Linked DNA regions of Drosophila melanogaster. The protein of the gene in region 1 interacts with the protein of each later gene in a pairwise test. Each region holds a gene or a part of one and is shown in the gene's direction. Other genes may lie near its edges. The genes, in order: ric8a, Adk3 and CPT2.

What was found.
Region 2: the proteins of ric8a (region 1) and Adk3 interact in a two-hybrid assay, tested with the Drosophila melanogaster proteins (one large-scale study listed by BioGRID).
Region 3: the proteins of ric8a (region 1) and CPT2 interact in a two-hybrid assay, tested with the Drosophila melanogaster proteins (one large-scale study listed by BioGRID).

What each region holds. Positions count from the first base shown.
Region 1 is NC_004354.4:9,254,139-9,260,431, forward strand, and holds ric8a (ric8a), read left to right. Parts: upstream 1-2,029; 5' UTR 2,030-2,158; coding exon 2,159-2,239; intron 2,240-2,304; coding exon 2,305-3,945; 3' UTR 3,946-5,064; downstream 5,065-6,293. Other genes in the region: CG17754 (uncharacterized protein), read left to right, coding at 1-211, 1,490-1,582. UniProt on the Drosophila melanogaster protein: Chaperone that specifically binds and folds some, but not all, nascent G alpha proteins prior to G protein heterotrimer formation, promoting their stability and activity.
Region 2 is NT_033778.4:7,241,850-7,248,006, reverse strand, and holds Adk3 (adenosine kinase 3), read left to right. Parts: upstream 1-2,230; 5' UTR 2,231-2,705; coding exon 2,706-2,785; intron 2,786-2,863; coding exon 2,864-3,019; intron 3,020-3,491; coding exon 3,492-4,356; 3' UTR 4,357-4,983; downstream 4,984-6,157.
Region 3 is NT_037436.4:2,978,976-2,984,560, forward strand, and holds CPT2 (carnitine palmitoyltransferase 2), read left to right. Parts: upstream 1-2,046; 5' UTR 2,047-2,147; coding exon 2,148-3,211; intron 3,212-3,272; coding exon 3,273-4,067; intron 4,068-4,184; coding exon 4,185-4,329; 3' UTR 4,330-4,576; downstream 4,577-5,585.

The sequences.
Region 1 (6,293 bases):
CGCGATCGGCTGTGCCCTGCTGGGCGATCGCCTGATCGTCGTCGGCGGCTACGATGGCAATCATGCGCTGAAGAGCGTCGAGGAGTACGACCCGGTGCGCAATGGATGGAACGAGCTGGCGCCCATGGCTTTCGCAAGGGCCGGCGCCTGTGTGGTGGCGATTCCGAATGTCATACCGCCGGCGGCTCAACAGCCGCCGCCCAGTGCTACAGTTTAGTCCAAACCCAATCCACTTTCGGTTGCAGTGTAGGCTCGTTAATTGCATCGCTTATTTCGGATAGAAGGGCCAGATGTTTGGAAACGATTTGCATTTAGCACCCAGCCAAATTTATACGCGAAATTCCTATTAGATACCCATTATTTGGGTAGAGCTTTATAAATTGCATTTAATGTTAGTAAATTTGTCAAGATGTTTCGCTCGGCAGTTAATGCTGCACACAAACTGTAGATTTTATACCTTTCTTGCATTAATCTTAAAAATCCAAACATTCCACGTTTACAAAAGATATTTTCCCAAATTTACCAGTTCATGTAAAGCATTTCCATTTACTTGTAGATATTAAGGAACTTTAGGAGGCAATAATCAAAAGTAGTTTTATAAGTAGCGTGGTCTGAAAGCGATGCACTTAGCGAGAGAGCACTGCACCCGTTCTATAGTAGTTGTTGTTACTGTTGCTGTGAGCTGCTCGTGGTTGTTGCTCGTGTTTCCTAACCCGGCAAGTTTGAAACTGCAGCTCACCTTCGCCTCGCCTCGCTCTCGTCTGTGTTCTGACATGATTCCCTGTGGTATGGCATACACCCAGAACTCACCCACTTTCCGCACCGCACACCCCAACCCAGTATTTTCCCCATAACTCTGCTCTTTTCGGCTTGAATCTAAAAATAAGTAAATCAAAAAAAAAATAAAAAAATCAGTGAAATCTCATAGGATTTAAGAAGTGCATGTTGCGAGGCTTCCAGTTCCAATCTAAAATCGATCCCTAGCTGTAATTAACCAACGTATTTTACACGATACCCTAGTTTCTAAAAATTTTCCATCCCACTCACACCCCATGGTGTCGTACGCTTCACACACTGCACGCCATCTCGCTCGCACCGGTGACGGGCCCACATTCCATATGCATAAATCGTATACACATACTTATATCCTGACAAGACTGCGCCAAGCCAAAATTCCAAAAACCAAAATTGCTCATTTTTGCATGTGAAGTGTGCGAAACCATTAGAAAAACAAAACAAACAAAATCAAAAAAAAAAAAAACGAACGAAAACAATCAAAAAGACAACTGCAATTGCTTAGTTTTAGTTAGTAAATACTTGTCCCATGGAATGATTATATTTCGACTTTTGCATCGTCATTTTGTACCGATATTATTCTTAGTAAATACTAGATGTGTGTGTGCGTACAGCGAGCATTTATTTCTAATTGTTTATTATGTTTTTATTTCTTTCTTTTCCCTTTCCCTTCGATTGCATTTAAAAATTAAAGAAAAAGAAGAAGTGGAAGCCAGTGAGATTGGATCCAATCTGCTATAATAGGCGTCCCAGATGTGTCGAGTTTGTCGACTACTATAACATGTAAATGCTAGACAGACAAGACAACAAACAAAGCAAACTATAAACATTTAAGCCAAGCTAAAAGAAAAAACACAAGAAAACTTGTCAAAAAAAAAAAAAAACAATCCAAATATTACGTATTATTTTATATTTACACATATATATATTTTTACACAAAACATACACTGCGAAATGTATACACTGGATATGTATTTTTTGTAATAAAATCGAAAATTAAACGGTTATTCGCTGCATTTGAAAAACCGAACATATAAAATAATACTATTTTGTCGGTTAAGCGGGGATTGCTCTTTTAAATGGGTAACTTCAAGTTTCTTGATTGTATTTAAATATTTGAAATAATATATTTAAATTATCTAACTTTCTGATTGGAATACGATTTTTTTTAGAATATTAGTGGTAAGGGCGTACCGATAGTTGGCATTCGATGGTTGAGATATCTGGCAACGCCCCGTAGTATATTAGATTAGAACGGCAAAGGTGCGGTCACACTGGCGGAAATTATAAAAATTAATTAAATTAACTTAAACGACCTAAAAAGCGAACTCAACGACAGCTTTGAACGGCCACCGTTGGCGACATGGAAACGGAGCACCTGAAACGACTAGAGGCCAAGGAGGCGGACCACATTCCCGCCATCCTGGACGAATTCAACACAAAGGTGAGCACTGCCAGCGGTTTCTCCCGAAGATTCAACCAGATTATATACCCTTCCTTCTGCCGTAGAATGCGGATCTGCTGGTCTTCGACAGTTTCCGCACAGACAACCTGTGGCACGAACTGTGGCTGGCCATCTTCGGCATATTGGACGACCAGCGGCTTAGTCATCTGCATACGCAGTGCCTGAACACGGTGAGGATTCTAACGCGTGACGAGTTCAGCCTGCAGACGAACTACATCGAACAGGAGGTTAACACCCTGCTGAAGCTGGCTAGGATTGAGGCCGGCTCACTAAAGCTGCCAGCCACGCCGGACGAGCTTAAACAGGAGGAACGCGAGGAGCCCCAGCTGGAGCCCAGCCAGGCCCAATCGGAGGTGATTGCCGAAGCACTTAAGTGTCTGTGCAACTTGGTCTACCAGAGCTCCGACTGCAGGCGCCAGTGCCTGCGGCAACACTGCCTGGATGCAATCCTGAAGAGGGTGGCGTCCTCGATGCGACATCCCTGTGCGTTGGAGTACTACGACATGAAGCTCCTCTTCTTGCTCACTGCATTAGAGCCAGCGGCGCGCTCTCGCCTCCAAATCGATCTGAATGGCCTCACCTACATGACTAAGTGGCTGGACGACAAGCTGGGCGAAGACTCAGTTGGCGAGGAGCAGCTGAACATCATCTGCGAACTGCTCAAGGTGATGTTCAACGTGACCAGTGCTCCGGACAAGAGCCCCAACGAATACGAAATCCAGAGCTTGCATTTGACGGGAGTGCTGAGGGAGCTACTCCTGCGTTTCGGCGACTTGGCCACAGAAAAGGATCGCGCCGTCGTCACACACGCCATCAATCTGCTGACAAACATCTCCGGCAGCTGCCTGACAGAACTCACCCTGCGTTGCTCCAATGCCGAGTTGGAGTCGCACAAGGAAAGAGAGCAGGACAACGAGAAGGAAAAAGATACAGAAGCTGGAGCGGGAGCCAAACCCCGTGAGTGCTGCTCGCAGTGCTTCGAAAAGCGCAATGTTCGGAGTCTGGACGTGCTACTCCGCTACCTAAGGCAATCTCTGGCCCAACAGGAGGCCGAGGCTAGCTCGCATGAGTTGCTTTCCCCAGTGCTGACCGTGCTGGTGAAATGTGCGCGCAGCGATCGAGTTATGCGTCACTATCTACGCCAGGAGATTCTGCCGCCGCTGCGGGACGTTAGTCAACGACCTGAGGTTGGTCAGGAGCTGCGCAATCATCTGTGTCGGTTCCTTACACTGCCCGCGATGATCCTACGAGATCTGTCCGCCGAACTGCTGTTCGTACTGTGCAAAGAAAATGTCGGCAGGATGATCAAATATACGGGCTATGGCAACGCAGCCGGGCTCTTTGCCAAGCGGGGTATACTCGACTGCCGGCGAGTGGAGGGCACCGACTACTCCTCCGACAGCGAGGACAGCGACACCGAGGAGTACAAGCAGCAGCAGCAGGGCATCAATCCAGTCCTTGGCTGCGTAGAGCCGCGCAGCAAGTCGCATCTGGACGACATAAGCGAAGAGCAGAAGGAATACGAGGCTATGCAGCTGGTCAATCTCATCGAACAGCTGCGTCAGGGCGGGATCGTAAAGCCGGCGATGATAGACAAGGACGGGCGCCCGCAGCCGCTGGAACACATCCTTCAGCTGCAGGAGGAGCTGCCGCAGCAGCAGCTCGACCAGAAGCGGAAAACCTAAGCCACAAATGTATTGCGGGATCTGCTATGGCACAACTTCCAAATAGCTACCAAAAAATCACCTTAAACTCTGCATTTATTCCATAAGTTTACTGTCGAATGTAGCTTCGAATGTGTTCAAAAAGCAGATTTTTTTTTTTACATAGTTTATATATTTTATACCACATATTCGAGAACATCTCATTATAACCTACAATTTGTTAACCAAAAATTATCCAATCTGGCTTTGATTTCAGTGATCAGCTTTTGTCTAAATGCCATTATTATTAGTGTTAGCTAAAATAATTATAATCTATCCAATTAGCTTCAATTCGTAGATAAGTTCGGTCTCCCAACTTTTACAGAATTTCTTTAACCATTAACCATGTAGAACGTTGTACTTATTAAGTTATTACGCACTTCGTTGTTATTTTGTTGTCCCGTGAATTGTTCGCACTTTTAAAGTTGATACCATGGCATCCCATAACGTACGGCTTGAAAAAAATAACTAAATGCAAAACAATCGTTGGGGTCTTCCAATTTCAGGAAGTAGGGAGCAGATGAACATCAAATCTGAATTCATTTAAATACACGCCCACACTATAGGACAACTAGGACGACTTTTCATTTTAATAGTTAAGTGCATGTATGTATTATATTTATAAAATTCCAATTATACACTTAGGATCTAGGAATGAAAGCTCTTATTCCGATTCTCAGTTTTCTATTACAAATGATGTTGCATGTGTGTAACACTAACTATAGCTCTAGAATCGAACTAAACGAACTACAAAGTCTATCTATGACAGACGGCAGTGAGGAGCACTTGAAGAGCCATCAAGTTGTGGATGTCGACACGGCCATGCAACCAACTATCCCATCCGCACATTGTTCATGTCCATGTCTAATCTATGTTGTAAATTCCGCATAATAGGGTAAAGGAATAATTCCAAAACTTTCTAAAAGTTACGTGTCTTTGATCTATATACAAGAAATCCTATCTAGAGCTTTATTGTGTTCAATTTGCTATAGCGATGATACTAGTAGATCAACTTATATACATCAAAACATAGTAATATTTTTTGTGCGAGTCTAAATGTACGGCTATCCTAAGCTTAACAATAAAATAAATCAATCAAGGTCATGCTATAATAATCAAGCCACATATTTTCCGATTCATAATGCTTTGAAACTAAATTTTAATTATTAATATTGAATCAGAGTTATAAGGATCGACTCCTCTCCGGCGAGGAGTCCGCCTCTTGAATGTCGCCCTCCATGGGCCTCATGTGATCGAAGCGAGCAATGTAGCTGGGTTTGTGGTGGCGATGGCGGCACGCCTTGTGGCAGTCATTTGGGATTTCTTCTTGGTCATTCTGTTCCAATTTTCGGCGATACTTTTCCTCCTCCCTGCGCTCATCCAACCAAAACAGCTCGTATATGCGGTCGTGCCGCTGGAGTTCATTCGCTCGCTCCAGATCTTTTTCCTTCTGCTTCGGGGGGGTGTATTTGAGAAAGTAGTCGGCATACTTGCTGTCGTTGTCCCGCCCCGGGGAATGCACCGGCTCCGATCCGATCAGCTTTATCGAGTCATTCTGCTGATCCTTCGACAACGATTCATCCGCCTTCTTTTCAGTATGCCCACACACCTTTTCTTCTATCTTCAAGGGTTCGCTCTCCGCCTCAATGCGGCGGCACTGGTTCTCCTTTAGCTTGAGCTCCCGGTTAATCTGCCGCCTTTCCTCCCTCTGCAAAATCTCCATCTGCTGGCGATGCTCCGCTTCTGAGGGAAACCTATCCCTTGTGAAGTAGAACATGCTATGGTGTCTCTCTTTGGGTTTCTTCTCTTGGCACGTCTTGTTTGAGTAGCGATTCTTTGGAATCATACAAGAGTCCCATTGTATCATCCTTGAAGGGCTATCTTTGATGTTGTCCTTCTGGGTCTGAATCGCAGTTTGAACATGGGCCTTCGCTTCGGTATGGAATTTACGTTGAGACTGTGCCTGCGATTGCACTTTGCTTTTCTTCTGGCGAGCCGCGGCTGCCGCGGCCGCCACGGCAGCCAATTCCCGTTGGATCGCCGCATTTTTGTGTTGGCATATGTGCACAGATTTTCGCTGTGCAGCAGGAGCAGTAGCAGCAGCAGCAGGAGGAGCTGCAGCTGGAGGAGCAGAAGCAATAGAGGCTTTCTTAACTGCAGACTCCATGTGGTTGATCTCCTTCGACTGTGCCTTATGTGCAGAGCCCAGCAGCTTAATGTTCTTGCGCGACTGGGTCACCTCGACGGAAGATGGCTCCTTCTTCCATTCCGCCGGGCTCGTGGTCGATTGTTTGGCACTCATTGCAATGTGGTGGGATTTGGATGAGTTG
Region 2 (6,157 bases), on another chromosome or scaffold:
AAAAAGCTATGAAAAGTATACAACCCTAAAGAAGGCAAAATAAGAAGGGTTATATTTAGGTTAAGATCACTTGTTTTCATCTGTGCATCTGGGCAGGTGATATGTTTAACTCAACCCAACCAAGCTGATAGTCAGCCCATGATCATAACAATAACATATGTATGTAAATATGTACATATATATGTGCATGCAATTTGAAGAAGCTTCTGGTCTTTCAATAACATACTACTATGATTAAGAGTAGGGTGATTCGAATTACTGACCTATGCATGTATTTAGACCCGAAAACATAAACAACTGTCGTGCTTATGAGGGGCATACCTGTAGTAAGTGGATCAGCCGCGGAAGTGCTGAAAGTTGGAAATCGCCGACTCAGCTACGAATTTGCGCGCCAAATTCGCCTCGAAAGTGGCCAATGAACCGCGGAAATGCAGTGGCATTTTGGGGGTTTTCTAGCTAAAACCGGACAGACATCATTGGTCATCTGTTCGCCCAATACTTGTAATTATGAAAATATCATTATAAAAAGCATATTTTATATTTGTTATGCTTAATAATTGACCCATTCATAAAAATTATACGCATATACGCAAATTATACTAATCGTAGTACTTAAAAATTGCTTATTTTACCGTTTCTAACCCCATGTGATATTTTTCAAGATAATCATACTAGTGAGTACCATTTTAGCTTGTTTTATAACAAATATGCATATCTATTACTTAAATACGCATTTGCAGTGACAGAAAATAAAACTATTGCCTTGTCATTCCAGCGCGGAATTCGAGTTGTCACAAGTGCATAAAGGGCACCACTACAGCATTTTCTATTGCTGCGGCGAACGTGCGGATTAGAAGTTTTGGTTCTTCATCCAGCTTGATCCGCACGTCACAATCGAACCCAAGGAATTCAGATATTTTTAGCCTTTTGCGTGGGACTTCAATGGCACCTCTGCCCGTTGCTTTTGTGTGCCATGCCACCCAGTTGTGTGTGCAACATGCGCCCATCACATGTGAAGCCACCACATTGGATGGATTTCATTGCTGGCTTATTTCGAGGGAGAATCGTGGAGCCCACGGAGTGATCGGGCATGGATCGGAGGCACTTCGCCGGCGGTTGCCCCACTGCTGAGTCACGCCGGCGCAGCACTAAACTGGGCCCAAACCCAAACCGAAACCCAAATGCCAAGCGAAGAGCCAAATGAGTCAAAGAGTCAAAAGAGAGTGGGAACTGGTTTTTGAAGAGTTCCCCCACATTCGGCATTCGGCTATCGGCATTCCATTTTAGGCCGGTCCAAAGTCCGCAAGTCTGAGTACCTGCAACCGGTCACCAAGCCACCATGAATGGCCGATGAATGCCGCCCGAATCCTCACGTGCACCAGCATCACGCTGGAAAACGAGATATCTCGCGCCGGCGTGGAGGTCTCCAAGGTGCAATTTTGTATGCAGTGCGGCTATGCTGGGGGATTTCCCATTTGGCTGCGATTGGCTGCAGGGAAAACCCAGTTTCCAAAAGAGTTCTCTGCGAAAAACCCCCAATGCAGTGCAGTTTATTTTTTCGATGCGTGGTTTTTCCCACTCCAAACCAGATACCATAATGTATTCTCTTATTTATCGTGGGGCTTTTGGCAAGGGAGTTTCGGTTATCTGAGCGAGCAACGTTCTTTCCAAATAATTAGGTCTTGTCTCGCATTAAATAATATTGCGAAACATTTGGCAGCGCCTTTCGAATAATGGCGAAATGATTCAGCTGCTCGCTGGTGGGCAGATGTACATCACTTGCAGGGCTGAATTCTTTGCACGATGGTAAACTTGTTTTGAGAACCTGGTGAAATTAAAAAAAAAGGAGGGCAAACAAAGCTGAAACTGAAAGAAAGCCATAACATTTCCGCAAAATGTGTGTATTTCGTTATATATTCCAATTGTAAGGTTCTCTACTTTTTAAAGAGTTGTTACTAGAGCTCAGGTAATTTCAATGTATATGTTTACAGATACTTCGATTTTTATTTATTTACAAAGAAAATTTTTAAAATTTCTATCTGACATAACCGGTTCGATTTGTTCGCGCCGGATGACAGCTCTGTCAAGTTCTCTCTGGCTCTTTCGATTCCTAAGCTTTTACCCGATTAGTGCTTTTTTCGCCGGCAGAGCTTTTCTTGCACTCAATTATGCTTCTTCTTCCCTGTAAACAAAACACGCTCACAGCTGTTTCTTCCGCACTGAAGTGTTGGCAAACGTCTGAATATTACACGCAATATTTATGTAATACGCTAAACAATTAAGTCGCATAAATTATAAAATAGTCATTAGGGATAACTCGATGGCATTTGTGGAGCGCGACTTTGAGTCACCATAGTGCCGCCGCCAAGTACGATAGCCACAATCTGAGCGCCAGCGCAGTGCCAAAAGCTCTGTGTTGTTGAAAAACTCGACAAAGTCAAAAAAGTCGAAAAAGTCAAGCTGCTCTTTGTAGGCCGCTCGATACAAAGGTAAAAAGAAGTTGGCCCAAACAAATTGCCCGAAATGGGAAAAAACAAATCGAGCACGCTGGCGAGAGCGAGATAAAAACACCGGGACAAACCGGCCCGAGCGTTCAGTTCTGTGCCGGACGACAAAAGCGGCGGATCACTGTTGGATTTCATTTCATCCGGAGCACTTGCGAATAGAACGCGAAAGTCCCGAGCAAGCGTTAGTTTTTGCATACAATGGAGTACCTGAGCTACGTGTACGAAAAAATCTTCGGGGGCAATCCTCCCACGGATGACACGCAAGGGGCTTTCCACACGTGAGTATCAGCAGTAGCAGCTGAGGCGGAAAAACCCGGCAGAAAACACCTCTGACCATTGGGCTTTCCCACTTTCAGGCCCCGCAAGGTCATCTGCTTCGGCAACGTCCTGCTCGACCGACTAGTCCAGCTCGAGGATCCCCAACTCCTGGAGCGGTTCGGCCTGGAACTGGGCTCCAAGGGTGAACTGGACATGGAGAAACTCAACCAGCTGGCAGCGGAGGCTTCTGAGAGGTGAGTACCTTTGTATCTTGCCCGATTGTTTCATTATCTTCAATGACTGATTGTAAGAAATTGTACAATTGGACCCAAGTTATGGTTTTTAGTTAGACTGATTTTACATATAAGTAGTATAGTTAAGGTCTTGCAAGTATAATTAGTATCACCTTTCAAAGAAATTGTGAAAAGATACAAAGAATGAACAACAAATAGGACTGGGGCTACAAAGGCTGTTTATACATAGCACTTTTGTACACAACAATCAATCTTTACTTAAGAAGTTAAGAAGGGCCTTCTTTCTAATCTCTAATGACAGCAAAACTGGTTTTTATACCTGTACGAAATCGTCTTACGAAGTAGGAAATGGAAAATGGCAAAGTTACACGGTTATTCTAAAATTACAAGGGTTTAGTTAGTAACTACATACATACATAATAAACAACCTTTGCAAAGCTATACTTACTAATCCGAGTTCAATCCAATTCAGCTCTCGGTGCCTTACAAACCCGGGTGGCTCTGCCCTCAACACTGCCCGCATCCTGAAGCAGCTGGGCACAGACGCGCTCTTCTTTGGCGCCGTGGGAGCCGACAAGCACGCCGAGGAGCTGCGCCAGATCATTCGGGATCGCGGCATCGAGGCCAGGCTGCAGACCGTCGAGGATGCGCACACAGGGCAGTGCGTGTGCCTCATGTATCAGGACAACCCCACGCTGTACGCCAACATCGGCGCCTCGGCTCAGTTCGAGGTGCAGACCCTGAGCCACGCCGTCAGCCACGAAGGCCAGAGCTTCCTGCGACCGGTGGAGCGCAAGCAAATCCTGTACGTGGAGGGCTTCTTTGTGCCCCAGAGGAGTGATGTGTGCGATTACATAGTGCAGCACCTGGTGCGGGAGCGGCGACGCCTGGCTCTCAATCTCAGTGCACCCTACATTGTGAGGAAAAATCACCAGGCTATGATGAAGCTGGCCCGGGCCGCCTTCTTCCTGTTCGGAAACCGACAGGAGTTCGAGGCGCTGGCCGAGGCTGCGGGTGGGTTCCGAAACGTCGACGAACTGGCGGATCATCTCCTGCAATCCGGTGGCACCAAGGTCATCTTCGTCACCAACGGCAGTGCCGGCGTCCAGGTGATCACCAACTACGTGGAGGAGCTGGCTCCTCCCGGACCCGTAAGCTTTGAGGACTTCAGGGCGCAGCGCGTAGAGCAGCTGGTGGATGCCACTGGGGCCGGAGATGCTTTTGTGGCCGGATTCTTGCACGCCTGGCTGGAGAAGCGCTCGCTGGGCGAGTGCATCCGAATGGCCTCCAGCGTAGCCGCCAAGGTCGTCACCCAGGTGGGCTGCAATCTGCCCTAGACCGACGCCGTGCATCGCCACCTCAGATAGCGCACAACAAAGCACCAAAGTAGACTCTTAGCTTGTAATTATTCCGGTAATCTCCCCAAACCTTAGGCTTAGTCAAACATTTGTCCACCATTTCACCCAAGCAATGAACTTAGTCATAATGTGACTAAATAAAAATGATTTATACATCGTCCTATGAAAGATAATAATATTTCTGAGTGACTATATGTGACTACATTTTATAATATATATAGCGAGATTCCTATTGTATGCAATTTTTTAACATTTAAATATCTTTTGATAGTTCTATGTAAACAGATGTTGCTTTCTCAAAAGACAAAACAGATTTATCTAAAACCAGTACATATGTATCTATTTGTAGCACATTGCCATTAAGAATTTGCGTTGACCTTCAGAAGAGCGCAAAGATAAAAAGTGAAATAGGGTAAAATGTGCCCACGTCTAATCAAGCCATGCCATGAAATCACCGGAAGACTCTTTTTAATGGTTAAATATAGATTCGAGAGCATTGTTTTGCGCACAGTGGGTTGAATGCTTACAAATTATTAATTTCGCTGTAATACTTTCTTAGATATACCATTATTCATACTTCATTATTTGAGCAAACATAAGTAAATCATTTTTGACACAGGCCGTCGTTATTTAGGTATACCTTTATATGTAAAATCACGTATTAATTATTCATTAAGAAATGAGAGCATATATATAAAAAAGTAAGTACAGCTGGTGATTGTTCGACCTCGATAGCCTTATTAATACGACTGTGTTATTCACTCGATCGCCGAAGTTCCCACTGGACTGTGGCATTGTGTGAATCGTCATCCGAATCCGTTATCACACACTTAATTCCCCCTGAGATGCCCTAGTACACATCTTTATGCGCATTCCTCGAGATGCTTTATTATCCGCAAAGAAGCGATTCTCGTTTCATCCATCTTATATGGACCGCGTACATCCCACACAAGTCAGTCAATAAGTGACGACTTGGCCCAAAGAGAACTCGCATGCACAGATGCCATCAAAGCGAATTCCGCCTTTGTGCTGGCCGTGGGGTTTGGCTTGGGGTTTGGGCCACATGTTTGCGAATCGTTAACAAAAACTAAGCCGCATTTGGCATGCTTGTGTAAGCAGGCCAAGGCCTGGGCCTCTCCCAGCTGCTGCCGGAGGAGGAGTTGTGGACGGGAAGCTCTCGAAACCATAAAGAAGTCCGGGCTTAGGCCGAAAGCAATTCCGCACTTTAAAGGCCAATTCCCGGATCAGCGTAGTGAGCTGGCTAATTGGCAAGGAGCCGCTTAAGAGAGCCAAGTGGCAGTGGCAAAGTCAATATTGACACACCCACCCACCTAATCGAGTGTATCGGGGTTTTGGTGTCCCACCTACTTAAGTCTCAGCACTCGCCCTGTTAATTACTCGATATTAATTTTATAGAGAACCCTTCCTTCCACGCCACTTCGATTGCCTTCTATGCTGTGGCCATTGGGTTGGCCAACGCCAGTCCTTTGTCGGGTCCGTAATTAATGTCATCGTGTGGTTTACGGGGTTAGCAGCCACTCGGGCAACCCCCCTCCCTTCGATGTCTGCGTGTGGGTAATGGCCGATTTCAGACTATCCCAAGGCTTGACTGAGATCCTCGCCAGCATGTGATAATTAAATGTCCTCATTTGCCCTGTTTAGCATTTTAATTTACAATAAATTGTGCTTCGGAAGCGGCTGCCTTCTAGGTAATCAACGAAGGAGTACACTAAGAGAAAAAGATATCTTAAATAGTTATATAGTTCCAGCAGCAAGAAAT
Region 3 (5,585 bases), on another chromosome or scaffold:
CTCCAACACCTCGACCATCGCATTCCCATTCTACAGTGCAACCTCCTACAGTGAGGCCTGAGTTATTGCCTCCATTTCTTTGGGGCTGTCAACGCGGCCATTTGAGAGCTATCTCCGTTCTTCATGGCCATGTCAATGATTTGCTCGACTGGAATGCGGCATTTTTGCTGAGCCATCTATGCAAATCTCCGTTTGTCCGAAGGTCGACCAAACCCAAACCCAAGCCCATTTGCCATTGTCATCATGGGGCAAATGGAATTTGCCAGTTAACTCTTCCATCTGGTCACCTCGTGCTTTTGCCTGATTTTTACGCAGTTGTCAACCCGTCGAAAGCGACTTATTCGCCACACCTTTCAGGTGCAGAAAGACAGGAAGGAAGGAAGGATTCGAATCTGGATCCCCAGTCACGCTGTGCGTGCTAGAATGGTCAACAGTTTTATTGTCCGGCAAAGGACTCTGGAAACAAATGTTGATTTCTGCGCACAGAAAAGAAAAGGATTTTTTAGAGGTTTTTTATGTGTTTTCGCATCTGGCGGCGACAGTTGAAATTTTATACTACCGTTGGTTGTTAATGAGTGTCGAGATTGTATGCTTTTTAAACACATTCAAGGGTCCTTGAATAGATTTTGTTATTAACGGCGAAAAAAGTGGAAAAAATATGTCACAAAAGAGCGCCTTTAAATCTAACTTTGTGTTTACATTTTATATCAAAAACATTAATTCAATCTGTGCTAGTATGCAACATATTTCATTTAATTTTATTTATTTATTTTTCTTTCCAATTGAAGTCCTTTATCCCACCAGTTATTTAAAGTCGCAGTTGGTCTTTAAAATGCGCGGGGCAATGGCAAAGCAATTACCCATCGATTTGTTCGATTCGGAGGCGCTCAAGTGCTTAAGCGTCCTTTCACCTTTTTGGCAATGGCATCCTGGCGATTTTGGTCCGTGGATAAACAGCGTTTTGTTTGCATTTGCGTGGCGTTTATTTGTTTGCCCGCTGTTGATGTCTGCTGGTCGAGGAGCTTGGAGCTTGGACGACGAGGGTTTCCCGGGGAAGAAACAGATCTTCGGAGGGGTCAGGACATCTTGCAGACGTGGTGGGTCAAAGGCTCCTGCGGGTATTCCAACCGGTCACTGTTCCCAGGTAAGTCGGAAAAAACACAAATGGTTTACTTAAATTACGGGGCTAAGAAAGAAATGAAAATGCGCATAAAATTTTTATACTTTGTCGAATTTCACGAGCGTTCCTTCCCATCGATTCATCTGTGCACTTTGCAGTCGACGCTTGCGGAATAAAATCCACTGCCCCTCAATTCCTCAAATTAAGTAAAGTGAGTAGGGGAATCCCCTTTTCCATTTAAATTTGCATAAGAGGCATCGGCGAAAGCGGATGAGGATGCGGATGGGTTGCAGTGTAATTGGGCGAAGTGAAATTGCGTTAATATTTAACAAGCCAGCGAAAGTGCAAAAGCGAAGCGCATTAAATGCGGAAAAGGGATACGGAAACGTAGTCCTTCGGGGCAAAGTGCGAAATTATGCGGAGTTCAGGGAGATCCGCAAGCCCTTTCCTTTGCGAGCACGGACCTCAAATGTTAAATGTTAGCCATAAGGTCAGCCAAATGTGAAACTCGAGCCGTGAAAGCGAAATGTTTGACCGCGAAGAGCAGCGCTGATTTTGAGTGGTAATTTCATTTCTCATTATCGTCGTTATGGTAATTCAATAAAATCATGACAATTCAAAATTTCGTGCCCGGCATGCGATTGGAATCTGATTATTGCAAATTCAATTTATAGTGCTATAAATATAAAAAATTTACAAAAGATATTAAACATGAATTTTAACCCATATAATATAGTACAGTTATACATAATAATAATAAAATCCGCAAAGATCTATTTATCGTAAATTTCAAACATATACGATATTCAAATATTTTGGCGCCATTACAGGTACTGAAAAATACCAAAAATACCGTAAGGTAACTATCGATGACGGCGATCAGCTGTGATCATCAATGGCGAACAGCTGATCTGGCTCGCGAATTTTCATCTTGTTGTTGGACTTTCTGTTGTGGACTTTGAAACGTCGCCTCTCGAGTTTAAACAACAAAAGTTACTCAATTTGGAAAGCCATCGAGTGGATAGCCATGTTTCGGACCCGGGTGCACCGCAATCTGTCGTGGATATCGACGAACTCGTCGAGGACAACGACCACTCATGGCCAGCACTACCAATACCTGCAATGTTCCAAGCTGCCAACGCTGTACTTTCAGCGCTCCTTGCCGCGATTGCCCATTCCTCTGTTGGAGAACAGCTGTCGGCGTTTCCTGGAGGCCACCAAGCCACTACTCTCGCCGGCGGAGCAGGCGCAGACCCAGCAAACGGTGGAACAGTTTCGCCAGGGGATCGGCATGGAACTACACGCGAAACTCAAGAGCCATGATGCAGAGAACAAGCATACCAGCTACATCTCGCAGCCCTGGTTCGACATGTATCTAGCCGATCGAGCGCCCCTGCCACTCAACTATAATCCGCTGCTGGTGATGAAAAGCGACGCGCGACCGGAGTACCAGCAACAGGTGGTTAGGGCTACCAACCTGATCATCAGCTCGTTACGGTTCTGGCGATCTCTGCAGGCGGATCTCCTGGAGCCGGAGGTGTACCACATGAACGCCAAGAAGAGCGACACTTCCAGCTACCGCAGGTGGATGAAGGTGGCTCCCAAAGCCTTTGCCACCTACGCGTCTTATGCCTTCAAGGCCTTTCCGCTGGACATGAGCCAGTACAACCGGTTGTTTGGCACCTCTAGGATTCCTAGGATCGGCAAGGACGAGCTGGTCCAGTCACCGGACGCCAAGCACATTCTGGTTATGCGCCGCGGTCACATGTACGCCGTAAATGTGCTGGACTCCAGTGGATACATCGAGAGTCCCAGTGTGATTCTGGGCAGACTAAGGGCTGTGCTTAAGCTTGATGCAGATCGCGAGGCAGCCAGCGTGCCACTTGGTGTTCTGACCTCCGGACAGCGTGATGAGTGGGCCAAGACAAGACAGCATTTTGTTAGCAACACCAAAAATGCCGATCTTCTGGAGAGAGAGGTGGATGCGGCTCTGTTCTGCGTTTGTCTGGATGGCGAAGAAGATGGAGTCTTTAACGAAAACCAGCAGGAGCCGCTGCTCAAGCATTTGCTGGCGGGAAAAGCGCAGAATCGGTAAGAAGTCGACATTATGTAAAGCCTGCCTGATTCACAAAATCATCCTGTTCTGTTACAGTTGGTTCGACAAATCCATTTCCCTGCTTATAAGTGCAGATGGAACAACGGCTATTAACTTCGAGCACTCGTGGGGCGATGGAGTGGCTGTGCTTCGCTACTTTAACGAGCTCTACAAGGATACTTTGAAGCAGCCGTTTGTATCCACGGAGACAGTGCACACTCCCGCCGAAGGCGATTTTAGCAACGTGCGGCCCATCAACTTCGAAATCGACGATGCCACCAAGTCGGCCGTTTCGGAGGCTTATAATAAAAACGCCAGCATTGTAGATAATCTGGACATGAATGTGCTGAAGTACCCACACATCAACAAGCCCACATGCAAGCAGTATGGCCTAAGTCCGGACTCCATCATTCAGCTGTCCTTCCAGCTGGCTTATCGCCAAGCCTACAGCGGCTATGTGGGCAGCTACGAATCCTGCAGCACATCCGCCTTCCGACACGGACGTACCGAAACGATGCGACCGTGCACAAATGCCACACGGGACTTCTGTGAAGCTATCCTCCAGCCGGAGAGGAGCAAGCCCAGCGCCGGAGAACTACGAGCAATGATCGACAATTGCAGCAAGGTGCATGGCCAGTTAACCAAGGAGGCGGCTATGGGCCAGGGCTTCGATCGGCATCTCTTTGCCCTTCGGCACACGGCCCAAAAGGAGGGAATACCAATTCCCGATCTCTATGAGACTGAGGCTTACAAGCGCATTAATAACAACATCATTAGTACCTCAACACTGGGTTCAGATGCCCTGCTAGCGGGTTCCTTTGGTCCGGTGGTCAAGAATGGCTTCGGAATCGGGTAAGCTGACTGCCTGTCGAGATTGGGTATTTGAATGTACAAATGCAGCACCTATTTTTCAAGTTGCCTCGACAAATTGTTCACTAGCTGACAGTTGATAACCCATTATTCTTTCAGCTATTCGATTCAGAACGATTTTGCCGGCGCCATTGTCACCACGTACAAAAACCAGGCCGATGGGAAGGTGTTCATAGACAGTCTGGAATCGGCATTTGATAAAATTTGCGCTGTCATCCAGCAGAGCAGCAGTAGCAAGAAGTAGGAGAAAATCGTGAGGAGTCCGACCCCGAATCCAATGAATATGGCTTTAACGTAACAGGGAGATTTATTTTGATGCTTTTACATTGTATCCCATGTGTCTGAATTGCAATATCTTTATCTACAATTTATAGATTATACACTGAAAACATTCTACCCCATCTAAAGCATCTGTGTCTTTGCTTTTATACCCGCTGCTTTAATGGCTTTTGCGGCTGATGGGATAATAAATTGGCTAACATATTGTTGGGATGCTGCTGGCTTGACATTTGCAATTGAATACGAGAAATAACTCACGTTTTAAAACAATGCTGAAAACAACTTTAAAGTAAAGAGTTTAAGAAGTTTATATTAAAATTGAACATAGAGTTATGATAAACGAGCTGAAGTAAAATCGAATAAGAGCGGTTGAAAGCATTTAAGATTATTTTGCGTAAGAAAATGTTTTTTTTTTAAGAAAACATCTTTCGATCCTTTGTTTTCCTAAGTAAAATCAACACACAGAACGATGTATGGCACAAACCCTTTTGAGTTGGTTTAACTATTGAGTCTCCTTTTAAGCATGCGTAAACTTTGACCTTTCATTGTCACTTAAGTTAAACAAGATGTGTGCCCACGCACACCCTGTTCCCAACTTGTTTATCCCGGAATAAGTGGGGGAAAAACCCTTGCATTAAACAGTTTCTGATTAAAGATTTCCCACACGCTGACCCAGAAAACTTGGCCACCAACCCTTCGGGCCAAGTTGTTGCCTTTCGATTTGTGTCAGCCGCACACGTCAATCGCGAACTCCGCCTAAACATGGCGAAAAGTTTATCAAAACGTTGCCTTTTTGGCTGGGAATGGGGATGTCGCTAAATGTGCTGACGTTATCAGTTGATTTATCGTCAAATTTTGTGCCAACTGGCGTGGCGTTGTAAAAATTAATTAACTTGCTCGCCGAGTCTTCCTGATACGTACACGATTCCGCCTTAATGGGCGGCATTAAAAATTAAAAAAGGAGACATTTACGCGGCGGAGAGGTCATTAAAGCCAAGTAGACTCTTCTGCCAGTGGCGGACAATTAAAAACATATTAAACTGACGTGCTGGAAAGGATGTGCATGTGGATGTGGCTGTGGCTGTGGATGCGCAGTCTGTGTGTGCGAGGATGTGGGTCGATGATAAATGGGCGGTCGCCAGGATTTAATATTGCGCATACGCCGCCGACGCCCGGCAGCTCATTAAATTATTCAAAAATGGGACTCCACTGCCCGTCCGT